Linked DNA regions of Caenorhabditis elegans. The protein of the gene in region 1 interacts with the protein of each later gene in a pairwise test. Each region holds a gene or a part of one and is shown on either strand. Other genes may lie near its edges.

Region 1 (3,299 bases):
GACTGGACCCAAAATGGCCCGAAACTGCCGAAAATTTCTCAAAAAAGTGATGGCGATTCAAAAATTCGGAAAAGTAATAATAATTGTTTATTTGCCACAAGAAATAGCTACACCGGAAGACAAAGAAAAAAAGTAAAATAAAAAAGATGTGTGGACAGATAAATAAAATGACCAATTGGACCAGCTATAGCCCGGGAGGTCAAGTTGGGGGGAAGAGGGTGTCAAATGGGATAGAGCCTAGGCGCGACGCAAATGCATTTGGAGTTAACAGTTTAGGGAAACGTTTTGCTATTCGGTTCCACAACGACAAGTTAACATGTAGAAAACATTTAGACGGGACGCCACAGACAACAAGTAGATAGGGGTGACGAGTAGAGCGTGAAGCTCGAACGAACGATGATAAGGACGGGAAGTGATACTCGCTTGAAATAATTTTATGGAAGGTTCGGAGGATTTGAAGAACCCGTCTATGGTGGGTAGACAATAAATTAAATTGGGAAAGCCTGCTACTGTATGACGCGTACGATAAATTACACCTTTGAAAGACACACTTTGAGAAGCAATGGACGGACAAGACGATAATAAAGCCCGGTGGCCGTTTACCTATGCGTTAGCAACGGGAGCAGCCGAATCAACAGAGATAGGAAGTGGACGCGGTGACGAGAGAGTCACAATCTTAAGGTCGCGCACATAATAACGAATCTCGCCAGCTTGGGTATTTCTGTTATAAGCGTCAGCTCTCAACTCTCTCAGGATAGATAACATCGTTGGTCATATCGCGTCTGCAGCGGATGGGTCTTGGAAGGTTAGTGGGGCGATCAGGCAACGAACGGAGAGTTTTGGAGAAAGAGAAAATGAACGAATTGCGGTCGGCTTCAGAAGAGAAACGAATTTTTGTTGGGCGGGATAAGACTGGTTTGCGAGTTTTGACGCGGAAAGTTTGAATATGTACAGGGAGGGAGGGATTAGCGGCAATTAAATTATCGAGAAAAACCTTATCCTTGGCGGATTGTGAATCCGAGCCATCATCCGGTAGATTTTCAATCACGGCGAAATGAGTCTTCTTCTCAAACAGGGAAATGCTGGCTGCTGCTTCACGTCTTTCTGCAATGATCTCTGCTTTCTTCTCGGCTGATTGTCCCTTGAGAACATCGGCGAACAGGCGTGGAGCGGGCAAATTGGAGGTAACACGGGCAGAGCATTCGTTCGTGAGCTTGGCAACAACTACCTTGAGCTGCTCGACGGTTTGGAAGAGTTCCGATTGTTTGCTCTCCAGGGCACGACATCTGCTTTCAGCGGCGGTACGGAAGGTTCTCAAGCTCGAATTTTCCTTTTCCAATTCTTCAACACGGGTAGTGAGCAATTCAAGAGCGGTCGGGCGACCGCGCTTCCGGGTTTGCTGTTGTTTCTCCGGCGGAGAACTCGTACCGTGAGCGTCCTCCGGGAGATAAGGACCAGAGAAAGCGAAGAAATCCGTCTTCACCATAGGCACTGGGGCGGAATGAGGAGGAGGTGGTTCCGACATGACCAATGACCTGCAGCAGTTGACCGGCGTACCTCAAACTCAAACTTGGGTAATTAAACCAAATATTTTTTGCAGATGCTAAAACAATTTCCAAGTCAAAAAATTATGTATTCAGTCGGCAAGCAGCGGTGAAAGTGGTCAATGTAAAATGATGGATTACGGGAATACAAAACCTAAACTTTTTCTGAAACATTATACATATGCTGTTTAGATGCTGAAACTACCTGATTTTCATAACGAGACCGCTGAAAAAGTTTTGAGGTTTCCACAATTCAACTTTTTTGGTGAAAAAGTCGAGATTTTCGCACAAAAAGTTGAATTTTGAAAACCTCAAAACTTTTTCAGCGGTCTCGTTATGAAAATCAGGTAATTTCAGCATCTAAGCATCATATGTATCATGTTTCAGAAAAAGTTTAGGTTTTGTATTCCCGTAATCCATCATTTTACATTGACCACTTTCACCGCTGCTTGCCCACTGAATACATTTTTTTTATTGACTTGGAAATCGTTTTGGCATCTGCAAAAAATATTTGGTTATCAGTTTTAATAAGAAAAAACGGGAAAAAGCTGTGAAAGACGAAAGAAAACAGGCGGAAAACAAAGCAAGATAAATGGCCGCTGAAACTTGTCGGCCCCTCGGCCATGGCCTAGAAACCACTTTTCCTCGTCCCTCGTGAGGAAAAAGTTGCAGTGCCATTTTCAAATGTTTTGAAAACGAGATAATTTTATAATTTTTGCAGCAAGATCTGTCCGTGATGATCGTAGAAGAGACAAGCCACGCCAAAGACGATCCTCTCGATCCCGATCTCGTGACAGAGGTGACAAGGATCATCGAAAACCAGCAGCTTCTCGACGTAGTGATCGAGAATCAACATATCGTGAACGTCTCGGATCGTCTTCAGGCCCCGCGGCGGCTCCAGATATTATTCGAGATGGAATGGTGTGGGCCAACGATAATTATTTCGAATTTTTGAGTTTTTATATCGAAGTGCTCAACGAGAAGCTTCGTAGTTCTGTTGATAGAGATGTGAAAGGAATTCGAGAGATTCGAGAAGTTATTACTCGTGAGTTTTGAGATTTTCTGCAGGTTTTTTGGACAAAAAAAATCAGATTCGGCTCAAAAATCGGAAAAAAAAATGTATCAAAAATATTGAATTCCTCATGAAAAATACCCATTTTGGATTTTTTTTTTGTTGATTTTTTGGGTTTTCTCAACAAAAAAATCGGAAAATCGAATTTCGGTCGTTTTAAACAGTTTTTTTTGCTTAATTTAGGGCTTCCAGTGGATTGAGATTATAGAACATCAAAAAGATATGATTTTTTAATTTTCCTATTTTTATTTTTTAAAAATTGATTTTTTTTTTCGAAAAATTTTGTCAATTTTTCAACTTTTTAGAACTTTCTAAAAGTTATTTCAAAACAATTTATCCGAAAATCCAAAAATCATCGTTTTCCAATATATCGATTTTTCAATAATTTCTAATTAGAATCCAAAGTTTTTTGACGACACCCTTGATTTGGATCCAAAATCTGCATAATTCAACAAAATAAACTTTTTTTTAAATTTTGAGTGGAGTAGCGTAAATGGAGTAGAAATAGCCCGAAATTCAGAGATACCGCAAAAAAAATATTTAAATATCGCGAAAAAATGAAAAATTTCGTCCAAAATGAGTATTCCCCGACCAATCAGCATCTTCAAACTCCGCCCACTCGATCTGATTGGTTCAATAGTGGGCGGAGCGAATCGCTGATTGGTTTTGCAGTTCTCGTGTTG
Region 2 (4,927 bases), 5.0 Mb from region 1:
CTCGATATTCTCGAATAAAGATTGTGACAATTACTATACATTCAAATACTCTGAAAAGATTTTATTTTCAAAGAAATGTGCGAATTTATGGTGTGATATTTTTCTATCATTAATTTCTTGATCAACTGCCAAAAGATGTTTGGATACAAACATCTCTTCAAAATCTGCTATAGATGTACCAAGTGCTGAAACTCTTCATCTGAAACTTTCGGATGCTGCATTTTTTGTTCTATTTTCAACATATTTTCAATATAATTATTTACAATATTATTTACAATAAGCATTTTATTGTAAACCGTACGCTGAGTAGCCCCAAGTTTCTAAAACATATATCAGATCTTGAATAACGAGATGTCTGACAACTGATGATTCATGAACTACCCACATAACATTATCTCCTCCCGCCTGACCTAACTGTCCTGTTAACAAACTTTCGTTCCTATTTATTCTTCTTGTTTCTATCCCTCTTATTCAGTGTATTGTATTTATGATCTATTATGTGTACATTTTTCTTTTTTCTTCAACTTTTTCCACGTCTCTTCGCGAGCGTAAATAAATAAATTAAGTAATTAATATCTATTTACAATATAATTTATAAATAGTATATTGCTATTTATATATTGTAATATGAACATCTTCTTACATAATTTAATTTGAAAGAAATGTTCTGATTTTCTCGAAGACACCCAATCCCTTTTTTAAGCAAGCTTCAAGTGTTTTCTCACACGTCATACATTTATTATTTTGTCGTCCGTATATCTACGTTGTCAAGAGATGCATCTTTCCGTTCTTGTATTGAAGATTTATTCATTCGTCACCAAGAAAAAACGACCAATCTTTATTTTTGAATTCGGTCATTTATTCTCGATTCTTTGAAAAAAAAAGCAAATACGTTATCTTATTCTTCAATCATCATTCTCTTTTTGTGAGAGAAATGGGTGCTCATTATCCGAAATGTAGTTTCCAGTCAAGAAATCTACAGTATCATTCAACGCTGTCTCCCATCGACGTGCAGCATCTTGTTTGACGTCATCCGAACCTTCACTCAGTGTAAAAAGTAGAGACTCGATTCTGGAAATGATTAGAAATTTTATTTAATGGGACTAGTGTTCTGAAAATTTGGGGCAACCTAAAATGCCTTGAAAAATTATTTTCTTGAAAATCCGGTAAAACACTATTTTATAAAAAATATCAAAAGTACGACAACTTTTTGGTCTTTTAAAACATTTGAAAATTTGAAACCTAAACTCACCCATTGATTAGAACTGTAGGTTGATATTCCTGGAACCATCTTTTCAAATCATGCAGTTGATACTTTGGTGGGTAATAGTCAACAAGTGCATAAAAATAGACTTGAAATATCTAAAATTAAAACAAATTACATCAAAAACATCTGGTGCTCTGCCGTTCCCATAAGACTCTCGAACCCACTTTCATGAACTTTTTTCGTCGAATGTCGACATCTGCAGATGAAACAATCAAATTTGCTAAATCCTCCACTGGATTTCCAAGATGAATGTTCTAAATTAATTAGGTTTTCGTTGTTGAAAGATCAAAAGTAAAAATTATAGTAGAACGCAGTTTTTTCTATTTTAAAAATAATTACGTACTTCCCATTCTGTGATCTCTACCAAATTCCCATCCTCATCAAATCTGCAAATCTCAGCTGTCAATCTTCCATGTGCGATAACATTATGTTTTTCCTTTTCATCTGCATCTTCATCTTTCCAATCTTCCAAGTAATGAGTCAAAATTCCAACTTTTTCAATAACTGAGGATGGATTCATGAAGTAGTCTGCAACTTCTGTAGTAGTTACTGCTGTTTCCAACACTTCAATCAATTCTTTTTGAATTTTCTTTTTGAATGATATGATGTTTCCATAATTTTCTTGCACATTGAGTGAGAATTGTTTATTGATAGTTTTTGAGTTGACAGCGTGTAACTTTGCAATCTGTGAGGCAACTTGTTCCAATTCTGGTAATCCCAATTTGGTACGAACACTTCCTTTCTTCAAAAATTGAGTAACATAGACAGAATGTTTGTTTTCATCTTCCGTCACAACAAACGATCGATTAAAATGTGCACTTGGAATAGGAATCTTCTCAAACGTTGATATCTCATGCCAGAAAAGTGAATTGTAGTAGGCGGCAAGCTTGCTTCCTTCCTCTAGTTTCACTATAACATCTTGATCATCTCTCACCAAATGCACTCGGAAGAGGCCCTCCGCTGTCTAAAACCAGAAAACGATGATATTCTAGAAGGGCGGGAGAAAGAAATTGGCCTCATTCAAAGGTCATTCAGTATCACATTTTGGCACATTTCTTTCGAATTTGGAACAATTTCGTAGAAAGTTTAAATCTAATCCTAATACTATACTTCCAATATTTTAATTATTTTTTTTTGTTTCAACCGTATTGAGTTCAATTTTGAAAAACTTGTTTATTTAACAATATTTCCGTTTTCTTATCAGTAAAACAGGCAGTTAAAAATTTCCACAAAAAACGTCATTAGAAAATGAAACGACTTGAACGAAATTTCCTTATAACCGGAATAATCTTTGTGCTCATTTAACTCCCAATATAATACACTCCATCCAAAAACACAAACATGAAGTATTAATTTTAAAGAGGTAATATGGAATTAAAAAACATGAAAGCTTTGTACGAAGACAAAACATTGGAAAGTAATTCGTACTAGCACCTTTAAAAGTGAAGTTCAAAGATAATTTCACAAGCAACATTTTCGAAAATTTTTGAAATTAAACATTAAAAATTGTCTAAAAATATCTTAATCTAGCGTTGACGGTTTTTTCTAATCGTTGAAAATAATAGTCAGATTAAGAGAGTCGACAATGTAACGTATACGATTTTGGCATCATATTTGCAATATTTAAAAAATTTGCAAAATCCTTTTAAAATTTGAGCCATTAAAAAAACTAACAGTAATAGGAGTTACAATAATTTTATAGTACTTGATATCTGTAGTACATTTAAATTTTGAGTTAAAAGTTTTTGAGATTTTTGCAATGCCCTCAAATAGTTCCTATTGGTTTAATATATGAGTTTTCAACTATGAACTAATTTATAAAGTTACCTCTAACTCCACGGTTGTGACACCATTGATAGTGACAGTAGGATTAAGTTCTTTAACTCGAGACAATCCAAGTTCCTTTGCAATTAATGCAGTGATGAACATAATAACTTCTCTGTGAATCAACCAACAATGCCAACACTGATATGTCCTTCTTCTGAAAATGCAAAGAAAAAAGGGAGGAGAGGGAGCAGGTGGACGAGGTCTTGTTATCAGTGATAAAAAATGCGGGAGAAAAAAGCGAAGAGAATCGAAACTAATGACACTGTCCCGTTTATGACTTTGATGATGGGCGACGACAATACTTGCATATTTTGTGTTTCGTAGAGCAAATAACATTTGCAAACACATTTTATAGCAATGAAAAAGAAGAGGGAGTGAGTCACGAGCTGAAATTTTGAACGAAGATCATAGGTGGTAGGTACTTTGCTAATGTGGTAACCATTTGAAACTGATATTTATCCGAAAATTATGAAGTGGGCGGCACAATTCTGGACGTAGGATATCGGATATCAAACTAGTGGGTGGCTGAAATGAAGACGAATTTAAAATTTAAAGTTCACGTTCGAAGACATATAGGACATCTGCCAAGTTGGCACTACATGTATCACATTAAGTTTTCAGAAAAATTGCGATATTTTCTCTCTAGGCTTGCTTCATGTAATCGAGTTTGAAATCTTCTTTCATATTTGTTTCTGGTTTCAATCTTACTGGCTAATATTATTATCAAATCAGTAATAATTTGGCGAATTTTGAGCTAGGTTTATATTCAATTTATACTGGAATAATTATTTTGAATCGTAATGTTGTTTGTGTAACGGTTTGTAAGCTTATAATTTGGAAAATCCTTGAAATTTTTCGTTGGGTAAATCCGCGCTAATTTTTTACCCCGCGCAAAAAAGTTCAAAAGTTCAGAATTGAGGCCTTTCCATTTTACATGTGATTTCCTAAACTCTAAAAATAATTCCAAAATTAATTTTAAGGAAATTTGAAAACAATAACCTCAGGACACATTTAAATTATTGTTTTCATCCGTATAGAATTGAAAAAAATCATTTTCATAAATACCTATTTTCGAATTAACGTTTTGTTTTCGTGCGTACTTTAATGTTCTTTCAATAGCCCATTTCATCCTTGCTCCGGTTGAGTTGACGAACGCCTTCAAAATGAGCCATAATTGAGAGCATTACTTTTTGATGCATTTTATTTTCCATTAAATGTTGTTTCTCTTTTTGTTGCGTTGTGCAGAACAATAAAAATACAAAACAATAATTTAACTTTCGATCCAATTAAAATTATTTTTTTTAGAAAACCAAAAATATTGATTCGATATAACGCTGTCTTAAAAAAAAATCTTATGAACAAAAACTTCATCTGAATTTCTTTTTCGTATTGTTTTGTTAAGAAACTGAAAAAAAGTTGTTTTTTTCCAAATCGAGGCAACTCTTGTTTTATCAATATCAGTTCATAATCTCTTCCCTTTTGTAAGTGGTAAATAAGAGTTTCTGTTTGTTTTATAGTATTAAATCACTCATAAATTGATACTAAGTAATCTTCCTTTAAAACTATTTTTGATGCCGCATTGAATATTTTTTATTCTGAATATTTCAGAAAAAAAGTTGCCATCTAAAAATATATCTAGTATTTTTAGGAACTTTAAGAAGTGCGACTTTGAAATGTGAATGATTTCAGACTTATCATGAAAAAGTGCTTAACTCGGTAGAATTTCCAGCCTGTTAATCAAAAAGTCACGCATCATTTGACCCATCCGATTGTTTGATTTTAGCCACTCCCTTTCTAGCATTTTAAAAATGCTTCATGACACTCAACTGACTC

The links.
Region 2: the proteins of hpo-39 (region 1) and C50F4.1 interact in a two-hybrid assay, tested with the Caenorhabditis elegans proteins (one large-scale study listed by BioGRID).

What each region holds. Positions count from the first base shown.
Region 1 is NC_003283.11:4,572,400-4,575,698, forward strand, and holds hpo-39 (uncharacterized protein), read right to left. Parts: upstream 1,526-3,299; coding exon 734-1,525; downstream 1-733. Other genes in the region: Y61A9LA.3 (C2H2-type domain-containing protein), read left to right, coding at 2,266-2,589.
Region 2 is NC_003283.11:9,525,114-9,530,040, reverse strand, and holds C50F4.1 (CHK kinase-like domain-containing protein), read right to left. Parts: upstream 3,249-4,927; 5' UTR 3,197-3,248; coding exon 3,095-3,196; intron 2,232-3,094; coding exon 1,611-2,231; intron 1,522-1,610; coding exon 1,432-1,521; intron 1,363-1,431; coding exon 1,253-1,362; intron 1,072-1,252; coding exon 906-1,071; 3' UTR 791-905; downstream 1-790.